Rhinolophus ferrumequinum: one gene and its partner. The protein of the gene in region 2 purifies or fractionates together with the protein of the main gene of each other region. This does not show direct contact. Links are inferred from orthologs where the notes say so. Each region holds a gene or a part of one and is shown on either strand. Other genes may lie near its edges.

What was found. Proteins that work in one complex are often made in the same cells at the same time.
Region 1: the proteins of PHF1 (region 2) and EED purify together in Homo sapiens (affinity purification with mass spectrometry; 8 studies listed by BioGRID and IntAct, with this or other methods). This does not show direct contact. The link is inferred for Rhinolophus ferrumequinum from reciprocal best matches to the Homo sapiens genes PHF1 and EED.

The regions. Positions count from the first base shown.
Region 1 is NC_046294.1:59,083,274-59,093,901, reverse strand, and holds the start of EED (polycomb protein EED), read right to left. Parts: upstream 4,492-10,628; 5' UTR 3,644-4,491; coding exon 3,530-3,643; intron 1-3,529. UniProt on the Homo sapiens protein: Polycomb group (PcG) protein. Component of the PRC2/EED-EZH2 complex, which methylates 'Lys-9' and 'Lys-27' of histone H3, leading to transcriptional repression of the affected target gene.
Region 2 is NC_046286.1:3,719,323-3,729,828, reverse strand, and holds the start of PHF1 (PHD finger protein 1), read right to left. Parts: upstream 3,949-10,506; 5' UTR 3,329-3,948; intron 2,577-3,328; 5' UTR 2,560-2,576; coding exon 2,401-2,559; intron 2,315-2,400; coding exon 2,233-2,314; intron 2,125-2,232; coding exon 2,029-2,124; intron 1,595-2,028; coding exon 1,494-1,594; intron 1,396-1,493; coding exon 1,247-1,395; intron 1,070-1,246; coding exon 974-1,069; intron 764-973; coding exon 695-763; intron 557-694; coding exon 433-556; intron 325-432; coding exon 257-324; intron 96-256; coding exon 1-95. Other genes in the region: kinesin-like protein KIFC1, read right to left, coding at 4,909-4,953, 7,475-7,550, 7,667-7,740, 7,830-8,120, 8,765-9,544, 10,141-10,506. UniProt on the Homo sapiens protein: Polycomb group (PcG) that specifically binds histone H3 trimethylated at 'Lys-36' (H3K36me3) and recruits the PRC2 complex. Involved in DNA damage response and is recruited at double-strand breaks (DSBs).

The DNA.
Region 1 (10,628 bases), on a different chromosome or scaffold from region 2:
TTTGACTTACATTTGCCTGGTTCCCTCATGAATAAAATAAAATTTTAACACGTTCACTTACTTTTCTGAAAATTACCTTTTAACAGTACAGAATGAAATAATAGAACTAGCACAAATTTTTTCAGCAGCTTCTGTTTTTTTATTTAAATTTATTGGGGTGACAATTGTTATTAAAATTACATAGATTTCAGGTGTGCAATTCTATATCACATCATCTATAAATTACATTGTGTGTTCACCACCCAGAGTCAGTTCTCCTTCCATCACCTGATCCCCCTTACCCTCATCACCCACCCCCCACCCCTTTACCTTCTGGTAACCGCTAAATTACGTTCCCCAGATTAATTTTCAAACCCCGTGGCCATCCTGTGGTCACCGACTGCCCTTCAATCCCTTCACCCGCCCCCGCCCCCCCAGCAGCTTCTTTACTTTCTGGCTAAACTCAACTGCTAATCAAGAAGCCAAACAAAACACTGTCTATAACAAGGCACGTTGCATTTCTTTTCTTCCTTTATTTTTGAGCGCTTAATTTACCCATCTTCTCCAAAGGCATATCAAGATGGAATCAAATGGAAATGCAATGTATTCACAACCATTTCATTTTATCTTTAAATTAAAATCAAACCTTTGTTGAGTGTCTAGTATGTATACAGGCTGATTTTCACCTTGGCCCCTCCTGAACGTATAAAATGACACTGTGCAACAGATATGGCACTATCATCTTCATTTGCCCAACAAGGAAACGAAGTAATTTGTCCCTTAATCTTGCCACAGATTACTTAAGCAAAAGACAAGTCTCCAAATTTAGCCCTCTGATACCACCAGGCAACCATTAGTTCTCTTGAACTAACTACTCTGTAGTCATACGATCTTTAAAAAGTTCAATAAAATGGCAGATACATATATAATAAACATATTGAATGTTAACTAGACTTATTGTGGTGGTCATTTCACAAGGTATACAAATATCAAATCATTATGCTGTACACCCAAAATTAATGTTATATGCCAATTACACCTCAAAAAAACAAATGTCCTTTTAATCCTGATTCACTTAAAGTAGCAACTACTCAGGTTACCTTACCTCCAACTCAAAAACACCACATCCTTTCCCCACTTGCTTTTGGTCTTCTTGTCATCATTCAGCTCCCTCAAGAGTAAAACCACTGCCATTGTTTGCTTTTTCTGAAGTCATTTTTTTTTTAACTTTTATTTATTTTAAGTGTGTTTTTCCAGGACCCATCAGCTCCAAGTCAAGTAGTTGTTTCAATCTAGTTGTGGAGGGCGCAGCGCACAGTGGCCCACGTGGGAATCGAACCAGCAACCTGTTGTTAAGAGCACCGAGCTCTAACCAACTGAGCTAACCTGCCGCCCCGCGGCCGCCCCTAAAGTCATTTTTATACAGCATTCTCTATTCCCTTCCCTTAACCTGTGTCCAATATCTGTGTGATCCTTAGATAAATTCCTAGGGCCTGTGAATTGAAATGATCCAAAAGAAAACAAAAGGCATTTTAATTTTCACCACCTTTATCTGAAATTCAGCACTTTCTACTGTAATGGAGGTAACATACGTACTAATGTTATTGTAGCTGTGACTTTCTTACCAATGGAAACCAGGTATTTTTATATCATATAGCTGTTGCAGACCTCAAATATTATGTATCCCCCTTACTATCAGACGTGCCGCTAGATCTAGTTACTTAATGTGCTAAAGAAGCACTTTAAACACTTTATATTAAAGTAGTTCAATTAAAACAAATCTTAAATTTGTTTTTAAAATATTTTTATAACATATTTTAAAATTTTATCACTGATTTTGTATGTAACCTCATATACTTTATACACTTAAAAAATGTTATTCTGAGAAGGCTTCACAGTATTCATTAAGCTGTAAAGAAAGTAAACTTTCAATTTATTTGGTCCTTGGAAATCTTCCTCAGTCTGACTTTCTTAATTACATTTCTGCCTGATCGTTTGTTATGTGGAAGTCTACACTTTGTGATCACAAAATAACTAATAGTAATTAAATAACACTTCTATAAACTTATTATGAGACAGGCATTCTTTTAAGCACTTTACCTATACTAACTTCATTTAATCCTCACAAATACTCCACGAGGTAAACATATTACCTCCATTTTTAAGAAACTGAGGGAACTAGCTCAAGTACCTTGCTCAAGGTCAAGCAACCAGTAAGTAGCCGAGTTAAGATTTTAATTTAACATTTGGATCCAGTGTGTGCTCCTAATTACTAACCTAATTGCCTAAAAAAGGCAGAAATAAAACAGGCTCCAAGGACTGGAATGAAAGGCATAAAAAATGCTATTTTTTATATACATATATAAAATTGGGAAAAACAAACAAAATTTAACATGCAATGCCTAAGATTTCCAGAAATTTCAAGTCCAAATCCCACAAACTGACAATTTCCTAAATATCTTTCTTCTATTTACAAAAAGAATTCTTTTCCACGTCTTCAGTGAAAATTCTGGTCATGACACCATGCCACATATGCTTCAACAAGTGATGTAATTGAGATGCAGAATTTAAAAACTGGGTAAGAGGTTAGTTACATCTATTCCTAAAACTAGCCAAACTGAGAAAATGAAGAACTTAACACCACCCTCCTATAACACTTTAAAGATTTTAAATCGACACTCAGACATGTATCATGAAAAGGGGTTCACATTTTGGAGTAATTAACATCTCTGAATAAACTGTCAAGACATTTTGCTGACTTTATTGGATATAAACTTAAAACATGAATGAAACTGACAATTAATGTCAATTCGTTTATTACCTGCGTCTCACCTAAACACAATTGGGACTAGATGATTACCAGAGTTCTTTTTTAAAAATCCACGAGCCCACACCTAAAGACATGTCCCTTCACCACCGTTGCCTAAAATCTTCCAGTTTGTCCCCTTTATCTTTGTAAACTCTTTCAAAAGGCTAACCGTCCCTTCTCCTTCCTTCCTCAAGGAGGGTTTCCCCCTCAAAGTCAGAAGACGACCCTCTCAACTCTGCTCCTCCTTAAAACAGCCGACTAACCTCCACGGACAGGATGGTAGCAGACACAAAACCCCCTTTACAATAATCACCGAAACTCCTTAAGATCTCCTCTTCCCATCAGCTGTCTGCAAGGGTCTAGGAGTGACATGGTCCCTGAATTCCTGTAAAAGAGTCCGTAACATACCCTGGCCTTTCCTTCTAACTTTCTCAGAAAACCTCTAAGTTGCCTTTTAAACTACTGGAATCTCAGCTCCGCACTCTCCCCAAATCCCCCAAAGGCCCAAACACTCCCCACCCACGCAAAAGGATCTTTCCGCCAAGTTTCTTCTTGCTTTCGGCCCCAACTCAAACCCCCACAGAAACAAGTTCGATTTTCTCCTCCACGCCCGCGTTTTCCTGAGTAGAGGGTGACACCTCTCCCTCCCCCCACAGCCGCCCGCCCCCGCTTCTACAGTTTAAAAAGAATTTAAAACTTTCACTCCAGAGTCCCATCCGGACTGCTCAGGGCTCTACTCACATTCTCATCCCCAGAGAGGTCCGGGTTGCTGTTCTCGTCGCTACTCAGCTTCTGCTTCTTGGCCGCAGGCATGTCTGTTCCCGCCGGGGCTGTCGACACTTCCCTCTCGGACATATTCCTCCGCCTCCCTCCAGGTTCCTGCCGCCTGGGGCGGGGCCTCCGCCACACCGCCGTCAAGCAAGCCCGGCCGGAGCTTGCCGCAAAGTTGCCACTGCCGCCGCCACCTCCACCGCTCCCCCCACTGTCGCAAACCGCGCCCAGCCGCCGAGGCGGGCGTGCGTGCGACCCCGCCACACTGCTGAAAAAGGGGCGCGCGCTCGCGCGCCCTCCCACGCGGCTTCCTGGCTGCTTCCCTCTCCCTATTCCCGTCTTGCCCTTTTCCCGCCGCCCTCCCGGCAGTTTGCAGGGAGAGGTGTGACCCGTTGGCTTTCGAGGGCAGTATTTAGTAGGTCCCCCTTCCCCACTACCGCCTCGAAAAAGGAGAGGTGGAACTCAAAGGGATGTCCCCTCACCCCCTTCCTCCTTCCAAAGACGTTTCAGCCGCAATTGGCCCAATCCTTCGATCCCCGACCCGCTGCAAGGACTCGAAAGTCTGTGGAATGGACTAGACCACCAATGTCCCAGGGGACGGGGAAGATATGAGAAATCACCTCTTGCTTTAACGGTGTATGTCAAGTGTCCTTAATTTTGAACTCGGAGGATAACGCTCTCACATTATTCATGGTATTGTTTACTATCTAATTTTTTGTTAAGAATAGAAATTCAAAAACTATAGACTGCTTCTCATGTGCCTCCCCCGCCAAGCAAATGGAAGTTACCCGCTAAGATGTGCGCATGCGCCGGGGCGTATTCTCGCGCTGGGTTGCCCGAACCCGCCTCCGTCAAGCCCCTCCTCTTGGAAGTCTTACTGAACCAGGTAGTCTTCCACCGGGTTTCCGTAGCCTAGGGTGGATTTCAAAGCGCTACCAAATCATAGTCTATGGACGCATCCTAAACTCTTGATGAATATTTATTCTGATGAATATGTATTGCGATGAATGATTGCCCTCACCCAGTTGGTGCCAACATTGAGTAAGGTTTAAGTAGGAATATCCAAAAATTACATTCTAGACTCCAATGAGTTACAGCCCAAAGTGCTCTTTTTAACTGTTACACAGGATTATCAAGGCCTTGAACAAGGCCCAGGCCTAAAAATCAATGGTTATCTCCAACTATGTATGAGACTGTTAAACGATGGACAATATTTTTTGGCGCACCAGATACGATAAAATTTTAGAAGTAGGCAAGGAAACTATTCACCAAAAAAGTTTATCTTTAAATGTTACCATGTCTAGGCGCTTGACAGATGCCAAATACATTGGTGAGCCTCGGTGGATTTGTTAGATGGGTCATTAAGCCACAAAACCGAATGAACAGCAGAAAAAGGAGAATGACAAATAAGAACCCCTCTCCCTTTTTTTATAATTTGGTTGTGACTATTTTGGGGGGCCTCTTTGCCCTCATCTGTAAAAATGAGAAGACAGGAAGGGACCTAACATTTCTTGAGCACCTACTTGATATTATATTTTTTCTTTCTTAAAATTTTATTTACCTATTTATCTATCTATTTATTTATTTATTTATTTTTAAATGCGAGGTGTTTCCCGCATGGTTTGTCTCTTCAGTCATTGTCCACAGGACTCTGAGAAGCTGTAGGAATATGCAGGCGCAGACTCAAGGCTCAGCTTTATCTCCAACGTTGTGGAAAGGGACTGTACATCATGGGGCAGAGCCCTATGTTCCCCTACACCACTTGGACAGAGCCCCTGGGAGTGACCTCCTGGAGGTACCCAGTTGGATATATATTTTTCTCTTTTAAACCTCATTACATCGCCCAAAGGATAACCAGTATAGAGTACCCCAGCCATAAAATTCTAGGGTACTGAATTACTTCTGCATGATGCCTTAATAGAGAAAATATCTGCAGATTGCAAGGTACTCTTCCTTTTGGAGCTAAGAGAACTCAGTTAAGAATGAGAAAAGGAAGGTAAAGCAAAGGCAGGGCAGATTAAGAGGTTTTTTCAATGAAGACTCAAGAAAAACAAGGAAGCTAAAACAAATGAAAGTTCAAGTCTTAGTAATGTTAATTGCAGTAATTTGTTGAACTCTTCTAATGTGCCAGGCACTGCTAAGCACTCCTCAGTTGGTGAGAGAGACTGACTGGTATGGTGTCAGACTCGTACGGTATGGTATGGTTTCTTAATTTTGAGAAAGTAAAATGTGCCTTTGTATGACATTTTCATGCAGAGAAACAGCAGAGAAACATACTCCCCTTGTCTGTTGAGAAGAATGTTTGTGAATATATCTCTACAAATAAAGGATAATCAACTAAAGCATTTCCAAACCAAATTAAAATGTGTGACATCAGTGGGAGCTGGGAAGTAGGAAACAACTTTTAGTAATAAAGTTAGAAAAGTGCTGAATATTTGGGTAAAAGACACATATGGAAGGATAATGCCTTTCAGCAAGCATGTTATGGGTAGCAAAGCAAAAATATTTTTAACTATTGTTATTAAAACTTGGAGGGATATTTTTAAATTTTTCTGATGAGTCAGGGATCATAAATGGAAATCAGTTAATATTCATTATTACTAATGTTAAAAAAAAGATTGACACTTATTAAAACAGCAAGGAATTTTACCAGGGATTATTGTAATAAGTGTCAAGACTATTGCAGTGAGAGAGAGAGAGATAGGGCTCAACTCTGAATACAGAAAGGCGAGGGTTTTTTAATCCAGGAGCAGAGTCGGGGATGAAGGAGTTCAGAATGTGCCACCACAATATGCTGCTTGGTATATTGATTATTTTGAACTGAAGGTACTTGAGAAACAAGTATGCTCTGAACTCCCCTTATCTGCCTAAAGACAGACCCTCCAAAAGGAACTCAACTGTCATAAATCCCCTCCCCAGGAGTTTCATCAAACAGGGAAAATTGACTCTTATCACAGAAGAGATTAGAAGTCCATACCACACCCATTCATCTAAGGGCCCATTTATCTTTCCAAACTGTCATTTACTCTCCCTTACGTGGTATACATCCCTTGCTTTCCCCTACTTTGATGGTATGAGCTCTCAAATCTCACTGCTTTTTTTTTTTTTTGGCTATCCACTTTTTCCCCCTGTGATGCTCTTGCACATGCAATATTAAAAATTAATAAATTTGTATACCTTTCCTCCTGGTAACCTGCCTGTTGTCAGTTTATTTCATAGATCCAGCTATCAAACCTCGGGGGGTAAAGGGAAACTTTCCTCCCCTACAGGGATTGGTGGGTGGAAACTTACTAGAGGAGACATCAAGGAGAGGGGGCTTCTTCCTAAAGCAACTTGCCAGGGTGATCAGATACATCGAGGGTGAGGGATGAGGAATTTGATCAGTTATCAAGGGTGATCAGATAACAAGAGGGAAAGATTCTTTCAACTGACTTAGCAGAATTCTTACTACATCTGGACTAGGCAGGCAAAGACTCAGGCGCAATGCCTAGTTGAGAGGAGAACTCAGAGGAGCCTGACCAAAGTTTGTTCAAGGAGAGAGTCTTTGTTACTAATTTCACATATGTAAAATACCGCAGGTTTCCTATTCAGCATGCTATCTTTATGGTATTAATTTAATAAACACAAAAGCTTAATTACCTATTAAAAAACTGTAAATTTTTAACACTGAATTCTCCTACTGTAAAGGATTTCGGGAGCCATCATAGGTGGAGAGGTATTACTACCCACATTTCACAAATGTGTGAACTGTGGCTTAGTGAAATCAACCAATTAGCCCCCAAACACAGCTCTCTTCAAAATAGCTAGGGATCTTATTTAAGCATGACTGATTGAAAAACCAAAGTACTTTTGCCTCAAGATGGACCCAGTCATCTCTAGGTTTATGTAATTCTTTTCTCAGAGCTTGATCTTTAGACCATGTAATCTTTCATACACTATCGAAGGACATATAAAAACTGTCTTGCTTGGGACAGAGAGGAAATAACTGGAGAAACTGGGGAAATCTAAATAAAGTCTGCAGCTTAGTGAATAGTTACGTATATATTTCAATTTCTTAATTTTAACAAATGTACCATGACAATGTAAGATGTTAACAGTGAGGGAAACTGGATGAGGGGTATACAGAACGCTCTACTATCTTTGCAACTTTTCTGTAAAAGTATCCCTCCCCCCCAAAAAAACCTCTTTAGTTCTTTTTTTTTTTTTTTAAGTGGATCTAATATTAGACTGCTGAGACCTCTAGTCAGAAATGCCTTTTTGCCTTTAAATAAATGGTTGTTCTACCTTGGAAAATTTTCAAAGATCAATTATTTATAAAGAAAAAGAAAATTCACAGCCTCGGTATTGTCTTCTAGTATCTTTTAAGCTTCATATCAGGAAATGAGTTTCAAAAGCTAAACTAAATCCTTCCCATTTCAGTTGAAGTCTATTTCTCATTCACTCAACATTTTTTTGTCTTTTCAGCTTCATAGCAGCTGTTCATCATCACTCATGCAGTGTGTAATCATATGCTCACAGATCCAGTTTTCTATGGATCTGCGAGCATATGAACAGAACATCATATGGCTTCTTTGAACATTTTAAAATCAATCAGAAGGAATTTACTGAATGTCATTTATGTGCAAAGCAGTATGGTAATTGCAGGGGAAGGGAGGAGATAAAAAGGGAAAATTAGACACAGTCTCTAGTACCTTCAAAAAACCTAATATTCTTCCTGCACTACAAATGCCTCATGCATTTAATAAATGTTTACTGAGTACCCACTATGTGCCAGGCACTGTTCTAGGTGCTGGGAATCCTTGATAATAAGCAAAATCAGACAGTTTCCTATTGTCCTATACTCATAGGTTACTGTTCACTGGGGGAAACAAACATTAACCAAATGTTCGCACAAATAAATACACAATTACAACTGTGGTGAGTACTATAATATGATGGGGAAGTACAAGGTCAGGCTGCTGCTTGCCAACATTGTATCTTTGTACTATTTTTTAAAAGGTGCCCCATAGAAACAATCCAGAGTAGGCAGTGTGTGGCACGCAGACAATGCCTTTGATGAATTAGAAAAAGGCAGCCCTTCTGGGTTGGCACAGGCCTGCTCCTGTGCAAGGCTTTGTGTGTATAGCACAAGCTGGATTTCAGCCGTTATCACCTCAGCTAGGAACCCTTGTTTAGATGAACAATTTACACAAGCATACATAGCAGCCCTACAAACAGTTTCGTGGACACATAATCAAGTGAGATTTGGGAGGGTTTCCCTGAGGAACAGACAGAAGAATTAGAACTAAAAGAAGAATGGGAGTTAACCAGGTGGAAGGGAAGAGAAAGAGAAACATTCCAGGGAGTGGTAACAGCACGTGCAAAGGCTCTGGGACAGGCTAGGAATATATGCCACTGGGAAACTGAAAGGTTAGTGCTGGTAAAGGACTGAAAAAGCGACAGGAGCTTGGTAACAGGTAATGCTAGAAAAGTAGAGGTCAGATCATGCAGGACCTTGTAGACCATCTTAAGATTACGATGTAAAAATATATCTCTTGCACAGAAAGAATTAGATAAAACACAGAAGGAATTAGAATGGCATTTATTCTATTTCAATTTTTTGTTGGAATTTCATTTATAATAGTGAAACGAACAGGTCCTAAGTATACAGTTTGATAAGTTTTGACATAGGGGTTGGTCAGTGTTTCCCTAGTAGAATCTGAGAGGCAGAGACAATCCAGTGGAGGCAAATGCTGTTTTACAAACACTAGAAAAAGTACACTCTATTGTGGATTAAGGAAAGTTTATGGAAATCTATGGTAGATTTCAGTCAATAAAATCTCCCTTTACGACTATGGAATGCCTTTGCTTACCAAGAACTGCCTTCTGATTGCTAGTTAACTTTTCTTGTTTCCTTGGTAATAGGAAGGAAGTGTGCTAAAGAGTGGACATTTGTTACTTTAGTCATTGGAGACGTATATTCCACGGCATAACTTTAGTACTTTGGCATATGATTTGTAAATAGGTGTCTTACTAATCTGAAAGGGAATGGATCGTGAAAAGCCTTATGTCATTGGTCTGTAAGTAATGGGTGGCCAAAGAAGAGTTTTTCCTTTGGTAGACAGCAGGGCGTAAGACTGGAGACAGCGAGATGAGTTTCAAAGCTGTTGCGACATCGCAGATCTGAACCAAGGCAGTGCCAACAAAGATGGAAAGTAAGGGGTTGTTTCTAGAGGTATTTCAGAAATAATATCAACAAGACATGGTATGTGAGGGTTGAAGCGAGAGAGTCATAGGATCACTTGGGTTTATAGCTGGACCAAATTTCTAGATAATTATCTAAGATAGGGAAAATAGAAACAGGTGAAATTTTTAACTTTTAGTGTTGAGTAAATAGACTTGATGTAATTTTACTTTTTCCCAAATCCAAATATGGTCTTCAAGGATAAATGCAAATGACAATGACTATCATTAACCTAAGAAAAGAGTTTTGTTGTTGTTTTTTTAATGGAGACAATTCTATAATATCTACATAAGAATGTCCAAACCTCCTGAGAATTTTGTTTTACTCCTCTGTGCTTCTGTGGGTGCTCCTGGAATCCTCCCTCCTCCCCCATCCTTCAAAACTTATTTTAGACTTAACAATAAACAATTTTTATGAAAATTTCTTTGAGCCAAACAGAGGATCCACTCCCTTTTTGTCCACAATTCCAATGTCTTGTTCTTCCAGAAGAGGTTTGTGTGAGCATTAAATGAAACAATACATGTGGAAGAGCTTAAGACATTTATTCGTGCATGAAAAATTGTTGAATGATAAATTTATTTTGGTTTTTGAAATGAAACATTGCTCTTGTTTTAAAATCACCAGTCTTAATTTTAGGAATAATAATATTATCCACTATTTTCCTCTTGTACAGGTTTGTTTTTTAAAGTATGCAAATAATGTATTTTGATTACATGATTATTTTCTGAGATTCTCGGAGACTTTTCAAATGTAGATCAAAACCAGCAATGCCCTATTTGAAAAACACTAATAAAAAAGGATCTGGAAAGTTGAACTAAGAGTTAACATTCATTGAAGTCTCTATGC
Region 2 (10,506 bases):
CTCCATCTCCAGTAGGGGGCTCCACAGGAGGAGGGATCCGAGCATGGAGGCCAAACAAGCATTTCCTCTTCTTAATCTCCCTCCCTGAAATGAAGCTGGGGTGAGAAGAAAAATGATCCAGGGTCAGTGCTGCCATCACTCTTCCGCCACTACTCAGCCCTTTCCAGGGATGACCTTCCAGCTGAGTTGCAGTGCCTCCCCTCCCAGGCTTCCATTTCCACACCTCCATCTCTTTCTGAGCCTCTCCTCAACTTACCGGTCCTTGTGGCTGTTGAGTGCAGACAGGAGCTTGGAAGAACGTTCTCCCTTGGGGGTGTCTGAGAGCTGGGGGAAGGGAGGGAAAATGGGCTCAAGGGAGCTTGATTCTTCCCTCTCCCTTTTTTTCACATCTCCCTGTTCCACCTTAACACCCAAACCTTCACTCTTCCTTACCTCCCCAAGGAGCAAACTGTCCCAATTCTCAGAGGTGAAGGGGAGGATCTCACGGTCAAAATCAAAGTATTTTTTCTTACAGCAAACGCTGAGGTGATAGAGGACAAGATGGGCCACATCCACCCTGGAGAAACACTGAGGTGTCAAGGTTGTGGAAGCATTACAAAAGCCAGGGGAGTCCCGAGTGGGAGGCTGGGGCAGGTAGGGTGAAAAACAGGGTGTTGAGAGAGGAGTTACACAGGCCATGCCCAATCCAGCTCACCAGCGAAGCTGTAGCCTCCTGACCTTCTCAGGGCCCCCCCGACACACACAGCATTCAAACTCGTAGAACCTGGATGTGAGCAAGGAGAGGACATACCTTAGACAGGAAAACTATACCATGCTCTGGAGGACTCACAAGCACCCAAGGATGGGCGAATCAGTGAGAAACACTCCAGAGGTTGGGAAGAGAATGGATCTGGGGCAGGCGGGTGTGGGGGAACTGAGAGGGTGGGGAGAACAAGAGGGCCCCCTGGGCTCCTGGAGAGTGCCCTGGTCTCACCTGTCCCCATAGAGGAGAGGCTTGCTCAGACACTGGGTGCAGGCCTCATGGAACCACTGCAAGCAGCTCTGGCACTGCAGCATTTTCAGGTTCCACCTGAAGGGGACACGGGACTGGTGACCTCTAGACACTCCCTCCTTAACTGCCCCAACCCTGCTCACCACCTACTCCCACCCCCTTCAGCACTCCCCTCACCATTCTTTCTCCATTCCCTGGGGTTCCCCCACCACCACACTGTCACTCATTCATTAACCCCGCCCCCTCATTACTCACTCCCCAGGACCACCACAGTAACAGTAGCTCTGCTGCCGGTTGCTCAGATGTCCAGCATCCCAGTCCAGCCCCTTCAGTCCATATGGCAGAGATAGCTTCATGCCCAGCATGGCTCGGGCATAGGGGCCCTTCTTCAGTGCACCCCCCCTCTGCAGAGAGAGAACCGGCAGGCTGCTTCAGAGGGGTGGGGAGAGAAAGACTCGGGAGAGGCTGTGGGTGGGAGGCTCCCACAGGAAGATGCCTTTACCTTGGTGGCGATGGCAAAGATGCACTGGCGGCAGACCCAGGATGTGCCCTCTCCCTCTCCTGGGGCTGGGGCCCTTGGAACATGGCAGTCCTGGTGATAAGCTGAAGAATGATATTATCGATGGTAGAGCATTTATTGCATTGCAAACCTGCGTGTGCTAGGTATCAGGATAGGAAGAATCTTATCTCATTAATCCTTGACCATGGTCCTGGGGAGGGGGAGGGGTATTACCCTTATTTTACAGGTGAGAAAACTGAGGCTCCTAAAGGTTTAGGGACTTGCCCAAAGTCCTATGGTTTGAAAAGGGAGTATTTGAACCACCCTCTGCCTGCAAAGCTCACACAGCCCCATTCCATGGCTGCCTTTTCCTATGTTGGAAGGGAGTGAGACTATAGGTTCAAGGAGACTGGCCAGAGCAGTAGCTTGGGGACGGAGGCCAGAATAGGTGGCATAGGACCAGTCCTGGTGGGAAGGGTCAGAGACCGCCCAGAGGGCCTAGGGCAAGCTGGACCACTCAGGTGTCCTGCCCTCTCACCGTGGCGACACTTCTCACAGCTGACCAGCCGGTTCCCAGGGACCACAGTCTCAGAGCGACAGACACAGCAAAGGAATTCCTCCCCGGGGAGGGCAGCTATGAGGGAACACAGTGTCAAGGAACCTGTCCTTAGGTCCCCTTCTCTCCCCCAAGCCAGGTTTCTGTCTTCCATGGGAAGCCACTCCCAGGCCTCTAAGATCTCACCAGGGCTAATGTCTTTCCATAGAACCAGAAACTGGGAATCATCCTCAAACTGGACCAGACACACCTCCCGAGCACTGTCCACCTGGAATGGGTGAGCATAGAGGATGAAATGGGAATCAGCATTAGATAAGGGGAATGGGGAGAGGTGACAGGTCAGAAGGGTCTTACCTTCTTGATGGTCCCCAAGTATAACAGCCCATCTGTCCATCTGGCCAGCACATCTTGACCCTCCCAAAGTCGAGGCCTGGGGCCTGAGGTGGGAGCAGGGGAAGCTGGGTCCCAAAGTGGGGGGGCACCAGAGCGGCTCAGCCGGGGAGGCTGTGCCATTGCATCCTGGGGGGGGCCTAGCCAGAAGTGGAATGGGAGGAGAAGGTTATGAAAGCCAAGAAACCTTCCTTATTTGCCTATTTTTCTGTCAAGGACTGAAGCAGCTGCACACCCCCCCCCCCCACCAGTCTCCAAATCCCTGAGACACCTGGATAGGAAACCAATCAGCACCCCTCCCAAGCTTCTTGACTCCAGCTCTCCCAACTCTGGTGACTGCCTCTCCTCTCCCTAACGGCCCCCCCCACCCCCAACCTAGTTCTCTAGTTTCCCAGCTTCCAGACCTCCCCTGGGATATTATATCCTGGCCTTGAGATTTTAGCAGAAACAATGGTTGCAGAAGCAAAGGTTACCACTCAGTTTCTACTGTCACCTTCTCCTGCTGTTTAGAGGTATCATAATTGGGGTGCTCTGTTACCCAGAGATGTATTTTGGGAGCTTTTCCAGCGATGTTTTCCAGAGTAGAAACAGCTGCCTCCCTGGGCCCGCGTGTCTCATTCAGAACAATTATCCTGATGTCAGGTTATGTCAGGTCGCCCTCAAATTCGGGGCTCCCTGCCCTCGGGTTAGATAACTTCCCTGAGTGCCCCGGGAGGGGGGCGTGTCCCAGTCCCAGTCTCTATTACCCACGACCGCGAGTCCAACAGGGGACTTCAGTCGGCCCAGCCGGACCCGATGCCAGGGCGACGAGGCTCTCCCGCTGGCGCCCTGCGCGCCGACCCCCGGCTCCCTGCTCCCCCCCCACCACGAGCGCCTCCCGCCGCCTCCTTACCAGTGACAGCTGGGGACGCCGGGAGCTGGGCAGAGGCAGACGTGGGAGACCGAGGCGAACCCCCCGCGCCGGGAGGGCACGTCTGGGCGTCGGGGGGCGTGCAGGCAGAGGCCGGGGGGTCCCCAGGCCCAGCCCCTCCGTCCCGGCGGCTCTGGGGCGTATGACGCAGCAGCCAAAGCAGCGGCAGCGGCAGGAGGAGGCGGCGGGGGGAAGGAGGGGAGGGGAGGGGAGGGACAAACTGGCTCGGGGGGAGGGTGGTGGGAGGGGAGGACTGGGGGGAAGGAGGAGCCGGGGGGCGGGGGGACGGGCACTACTTCACCCCACCTCCCTCACCTCCAACAGGCCTGGAGGGCGCCGAGCCAGCGGCGGCCTCTCCGTTGGTGGGGCGGGCGGACAGTCTGACCTGGCGGGAAAGGGAATCCCCGAAGCCCCTTCTTCGGAAGGGAGACCCGCCCAGGGGGCAGGAGGGAATCCCCCGCCTCCCGGCAGCCCGCCCTCCGGATTGGCCCCAGCCCCATGCCACATCCGTTAACTGCCCCCCCAACCTCCATGGTCACTCCAAGTCCCGCCCCCGACCCCAGTTCACGACCCCGCCTTCCATTCACCCTTCCCTATGCCCCCTCCGCGCCCACCTCCCTCTAGTGCCCCGCCCTCCTCTCCCGCCTTTGCCCCCGCCCCACCCTCTAGGTGGCAAGTTGTCCCCCCTAGCTTCTGCGCACGCGTGACCCCTCCTGCGCGCGGCACCTGGGAGGGCCGAGCCCCTCCTTTCTGGGGCGGCGGCCGTTGGCTGTTGGCGCGACGGTCTCGGCGGGCGTGAGCCCCGCCCCGCACTTCCAGGGCCGGGGCGCCGACCAAGGAGGGCTAGAACCCAGGCGGTGACGCCGCCGAGAGCCAGCCAATGGGCAGCGGGCAGGGCCAGGCCTGGCCGTTCGAACGCGAAGGCCGGGAAAGGGCGGGAGGAAAGAGCCAGCAGTTAATGGGAGGGTGTGTCAGTCCCGTCCTTGGGTTCAGGTGGCCACCTTTCCGGAGCTAGGGTGGCCTGTGGCAAGCGGGGAAACAACTAGTGGCTGTGGATAGCTAGTGGGCACACCTCTTACCGTGTTTCCTCAAAAATAAGACCTAGCCGGACCATCAGCTCTAATGTTCTAATGTGTCTTTTGGAGCAAAAATTAATATAAGACCCAGTCTTATAATTTTTGCTCCAAAAGACGCATTAGGGCTTAGAGCTGATGGTCCAGCTAGATCTCATTTTCCGGGAAACATGGTAGGTGTGGACAACCAGGAAAGTATGGGAGCTGAAGGCCACTCAGGGTACAGCTTGTCAGGGAGAAAAGCAAAGTGCAGGCTTTTGCACTGCAAAACACAAATTGCTGGGCAGAGTGGACAGATCCACAGCCCCATATTTACAGATGTGAAAAATATGTCCTTTCTTGAGCAATTGCTAATAAAACCTTTATTTGAAAAAAAACCCAAAAAACTTTTCTTTATTTAATAGGTCCAGGTAACACAGTGCCCCCCCTTCCCCCCCCAAATCACCCTCTCAGCCCCAACCCCCCAACCCCCAGGATCTGGATCTGTTTTCATTTCCTGTTGGCCTGGGCAGTACCAATAACACACTGGTTCACCTGCGGGCAGGGGGGTTAGACAGGATAAAAAAATTTTCAGAGTAACCAACAGGCTGGGTTTCCCAAGATCAACCTCCCAATCCCCATGGTTGGTTCTATGTCCACTAGGCACACTAGGTCTGAAAGTGGTGAAAAGGCCTGAGAAGGGATGGGAGCCCCACCACACAGGAGCAGACAGAGAAGGAGCTTTCATTTCTAGCAATACTGTGGATTAGAGACCCCAAATCCTTCCCATCACTAGCGCTGAATAAACTAGATAGAACAATACCAACACTCATTTAGGAACCAAGGCTCCTTGGAAAATGAATGATTCCTAGTCTAGGGCAGGCAATGTACAAGATGAACCTAGAATAAAGACTACTGGGGACCTAAGGGACACAAGAGTCAATTTGAAAGAGCTCCCACTGGACAAAGATGGAGTAATTTGAGCATAAAAAGAATGAATGACAACTGACAAGGACACATATCAAATACATAAGCATCTGTAAAGATAACCCCTTGATAAAAACTCACTGTTTACCTTTGGAAGTTGCTAGAGTATCAATGTATACTTAAAATTGATAAAGAATTCAACATTTATCCCAACTTTCCTATATGGACTGAATTTTAGAGTAATCAAATAGATGGCAATAGGAAGCACTTTATAGAAGAATCTGGGCTAATTAAAGTAGAACTGAGAAAATCAGGAAATCATTTTTAAATAAAGTAAAATAAAGAATAGAAAAAAGAAAAAATAGGAAAAAACCAAAACTTTTTAAAAAGTAAAAATAAAAATCATCATCATCATCACCATTTTAACTCAATGAAACAATAGACCTAGGTATGATCATTGTTTGATCAAATCACTAGGTAAAAAAGTTGATAGGGAGTTTTTTAATGGATAGATCAGGCTGACAATACCCAAATCCAACGATCAATTTTTATATCATTGAAAGTGGAACAACTAGATATTAGGTGCCTCCTGCTATGATGCAATAGAACGTGTACAACCCCATGTAAGTTTTCTTGCTAAGAAATTTAAACCTGACTCAGATCTAATCAAGCCTCTAAACCTAACTCCTAAGACAACAACAATTATGGAAGAAAAAGGCAGCAACCAGCCCAAATCCAGGATATAGTTATTCCATAGGACAAATCACCCAATTTCTTCAACAAATAAATGCCATAAAAGAAGGCAGGGTTGTTATAGATGAAAAGAAACTTAAGAGATCATTTCAACCAAATAGTATGAGTAGCCCTTGCTTCGATCCTGATCAGAACAAACCAAAGTATAAAAGACATTTTCTGAGACAATCAGGTGAAATGTAATATAAACTGGGTATTAGAGGATATTAAAGAGTTCAAGTTGTTGGGTGTCAACGATTTGATATACCTTTAATTGAACTTGCAAGATAGCAAGGTAAATCCTGATTAAAGCAGAAGACCAGGTCAGGGTGCGAAGGCGGTTGACTACTTCCATGGCAACAACACAGGCTGAAGCCTGAGTGCGGCAGAAAGGCACACGTGATCAGAGACTCTTACTAAAGCCAGAACCCATCACAGGGTATAGTCTCAGGGAAAAAATTTCCCTCCAGAGGCAGACTGTAAAGAAACTTTCTGACTCAGCTCTAGAGGAGGGAACATAAGTCTCCTAGAGAGTTCATAGCCATGGCCATGGCTAACCCTCGTGGGGTTTGGAGCCTGAACTCACACTATTTGGAAAAACCTCTAAATCTCCTTTGATCCAGCAATCCCATTTCAAAGAATCCTTCCCTAGATAGATAGATGTAAGTAAGCAAATAGAAAATGACATATGTACAAGGTTAGTCAACATGGCCTTGTTTGTAACAGAAGAGGGGCGGAAACAATCCAAGTGCCTAATAGAGGTGATAAACGTCAGTGTATCCACAGTGGAGTCCTAGGCAAATATAAAAATAATGGGATGATTTCTGTGTGCCTGTGGGGAGTAATCTTCAGGTTGTCTTGTTAGGCGAAATAAAGTGTAGAATAACATAAATCTAAGAGAGGGAGAGAGATGTCTTTTACTCGTATGTAAGAAGGAGGGGAATAAGCACAAGTGTATTGCTTGTATTTGCAAAAGCAAACATTCGAAGAATAAAATGATAAGTGATAAAAATGACAGGTGGGGAGCATGGGGCGGACAGGAGTAGTATATAGCTTTATATGTAGTTTTGACCTTTTAACCACCTCTTTTTAAAATCTTAAAAATCCCTAAAAAGCCAACAGGTGAAAAATGGATCTATAGGGAATAGAGTCAATGGAATATATCAGTCAGAGGGGCAATAGATTGGGGGGGGGCGTTATCACTTTGTGAGGGATGAAATGGCTAGTGCATTCTTTTGTACACCTGAAACTAATTTAAAAAAAATGGATCTAGGTGGGTAGTGCCCCAGACGCCTGGCCAACATAAATCCTTTCTGGATCAATGTGCCCCTGGCCTAAAGGACAGAAGGGTTTGGGACAGAGAAGCCCACAGTCACCCAGGGGTCCTGACAGAGGCTGGGCTTGGTGGTAACCGCACCTTAGAGGCAAAGCGTAGGGAGTTGAGGGACTCGGAGACGTTCTCTTCTAGTGGGGAAATATTCACAAACATGAGCCTGTGGAGAGAGGAAAGGGGGCCAAAACCCTGCATTAGTGGCTGGTGGAGCCTGGACCCCGTTTCCCCTTTCCCACCCCTCACCCCAACATCACAGTTCCGACCCTTTCCACTCACATCTTGGCGCTGCCACCCAGAGAGTTCTGCAGCAGGTAGGTGAGCTTGCTGTTCCGGTATGGCACATGGGACTCCTAGCAGGTTGAGAGGGACAAGTGACTAGGCTAGGATCGGGTTCAGCATGGTCAGCTCCAGGCCCCACCTGACCCAGCCTCATTCCCACCTTGTTGCTCAAGGCCATGATGACCAGCCCCAGTGTGGACAGGCTGCTGTTAATGGCCTGTGTTTCCCGAAGACGCTCCCGCTCCCCAGGGCCAAGGGCTAAGCCGGGGTCTAGACGCTCGCTCCCAGCCAGGTCCACAAGATTGAGGCGGGCCCCACACTGTAGGCCTCGTCCAGTGTGCTCCCCAGAGATCTGCAGCTGGAACACACTGTGGCTGCGGGATGAGCGCTCGTTCTGGGCTGTGCGGGCCACAGCCCGGTTCTGGCGGGCCAGATGGAGCAGAGCCTCCACCTGGATGGGGAAGGGCAGGGCAGGGCAGGCAGAGGTCAGTACACAGTGGTGTCAGGTACGGCAATGCACAGGGGTCAGCACCGCCCTCTTGGAGCTTTATTTCTAGGCGGTGAAGAGACAAATAAGTAAAATATACAACATATCTGCAAGGACTAAGGAGTAAAATCAAACAGAAAAATAAGGAGTATCATGAGGGTAAGTAACGTGAGGCTGCAAGTTTAGGCAGGCTGGCTGGATCTTAAGGCAATGAGGGAGCAAGCCACTGCAGGAAAGGAACATTCAGGCAAAAGGAGACAGCGAGCAAAGGCCCTGAAACACGAGTGACCCGCGGGCTGAGGAGCCAGGTGGCCAGTGTGGCTAGTGTGGGAAGCAAGGAGAGCAGTAGGAAACGAGACCCGAGATCCCTGGTCAGGGAGCCAGCGACACCCCTGCTCCCGCAAGCTGCCTCTCCTCCCCACTCCCTGGTTCTGTTAAGGCAGAAGGACCTCACAGCCCACCGGCCAAAACTGAATGTGGCAACCAGTCCTTACAGCTCCCCTTTCCTTCACCCTTCACCTTTCACTGCTCCCTTCTCCATTCCACTCCATCTCTGTCCCCCTACCCACTGCTCCCCATTTTCCAGCCCAGTGCCCATCAGGGCTTACCTCTTTCTCACAGGAGACAGGAACATATCGGGCATTGGTGACAACAAGCTCCTCGCTCCCTGGCCCTACCCGGCGAATCTCACATTCACCCCCGTGGCCCTTCCGGGTCCCTGTGGCCAGCAGGTCTCGGACAGTCTCATTGTAGATCTCTACGTAGCTCGCCACAAAGCTGTAGGTCCAGCCCTGGCTACTCAGCTCCCCGGCCACAGAGAACAGGTGCCGCAGGGCCCGCGGGATCAGCCCCTCCACCTGGGGGTCTCCCCCAGGCCCACCCTCCATGGTGAAGGTCTTGCCGCTCCCCGTCTGGCCATAGGCAAAGATGCATACAGGGTAGCCATCCAGGGCTGACTGGACAAGCATGGCAATCTCCTCAAACACTTCGTCCTGTCCACTTCCTGGTGGGAATACCCGGTCAAAGGAGAAGTCATGGCGCGTGGGAGCAGCTGGCATCCCACTCAGGGTCCCACGCCGCTCATCAGACCGGAAGAGGCTGAGGTGGGTTGGAGGATCAGAGGGTCCACCAGGGCCAGAGGGAAACAGGAGGAAGCCAGGGGGTGGGGTGGGCTCCCCCAGAAGGACAGGGCGGACCCGGCAGAACACCCGGATGTTGCCTTTGAGCTCCTGTAGCTGGTTGTGGAGTCGCCGTCGCTCCATCTCTAGCCCATGGAGACGCTCTCCCCGCTCAGCCAGTGAGGCCGCCTGGGCTGCGGTCTCCCGGCGCAGAGATGCCACCTCCGCTTGGCTGTCTGACAGTGCTGCTTCTGATGCCTGCAGCCTCCTCTGCCCAGAACGGAACAGACAGAGATGGCAAGATACAACCAAGAATAAGAGCAAGTCATGATGGGGCGAGGGGTGGAGGAAGGGTAGTCCCTGCCTCCAAGGACTTCCCAGTCTGGTAAAAATAAGGTAAGAAAACCGGAATCCTGGTATTAGAATACGGAGTGCTCTGGGCATGTCCAGACGGCTCACAAGGAAGATAACTAGGCTGACACACAATAGTATAGGAGTGAACCAAGGGAAGCATGGACTATAGAGAGAACATTCCACAAAGAGGGAAGGAAGCGCATGTCCTGAAGCAAAATGCCCTGAAGCGAGAACTGAATCGTTTGAGAGACTGCAAGTAATTCAATCTAGTTGGTGCTCACCAAGGAGTCGAGTGGACATAAGAGGAAGAAAGAATGCAGGGGGTTCTGATCAAGAAAGACAGCCAGAAAGAGGGGCATAGAGGAGTATGGGAGACACACATCTGGGGGAGCTCCGAAGACAGAGTCAGGACAGGGCTGGGGTACAACGCAGAGCGCAGGGGTGGTCAAGGATTGATCCTAAGCCCAAACCTGGAAAGGAGAGTCAGCATTTGGTGAGAGGCTGGCCCTTACCTCCTGCTCCTCCAGCCGGATGACCAGTCCCCGCCGCTCTTCCTGAAGTTCCAACTGTTCTTTCTGGAGCTCTTGCACCAAGCCCTCCTGCGTGCCCAGCCACTCTTCCAGCTCCAGGACACGGGCACTCAGGTTCCCCAGCTCCCGCTGGCCCTGCTCGGCCTGGGCCCGCTTCAGGGCCAACTCCCCTTCCAGGGTCCTGCGCTCTGCCCCCAGGGCCGTGGCCTGCTGCTGGGCCTCCCGGAGCTGATCCCGCAGCTGTTGGTTCTCCTGGTCCAAGGTCTGAGTCCTCTCACGGCAGCATTTCAGCTCTGCGTTTAGGTCGCATAACTGACCCTTTAAGTCCCAGGCTGGACGTTTGCTGGG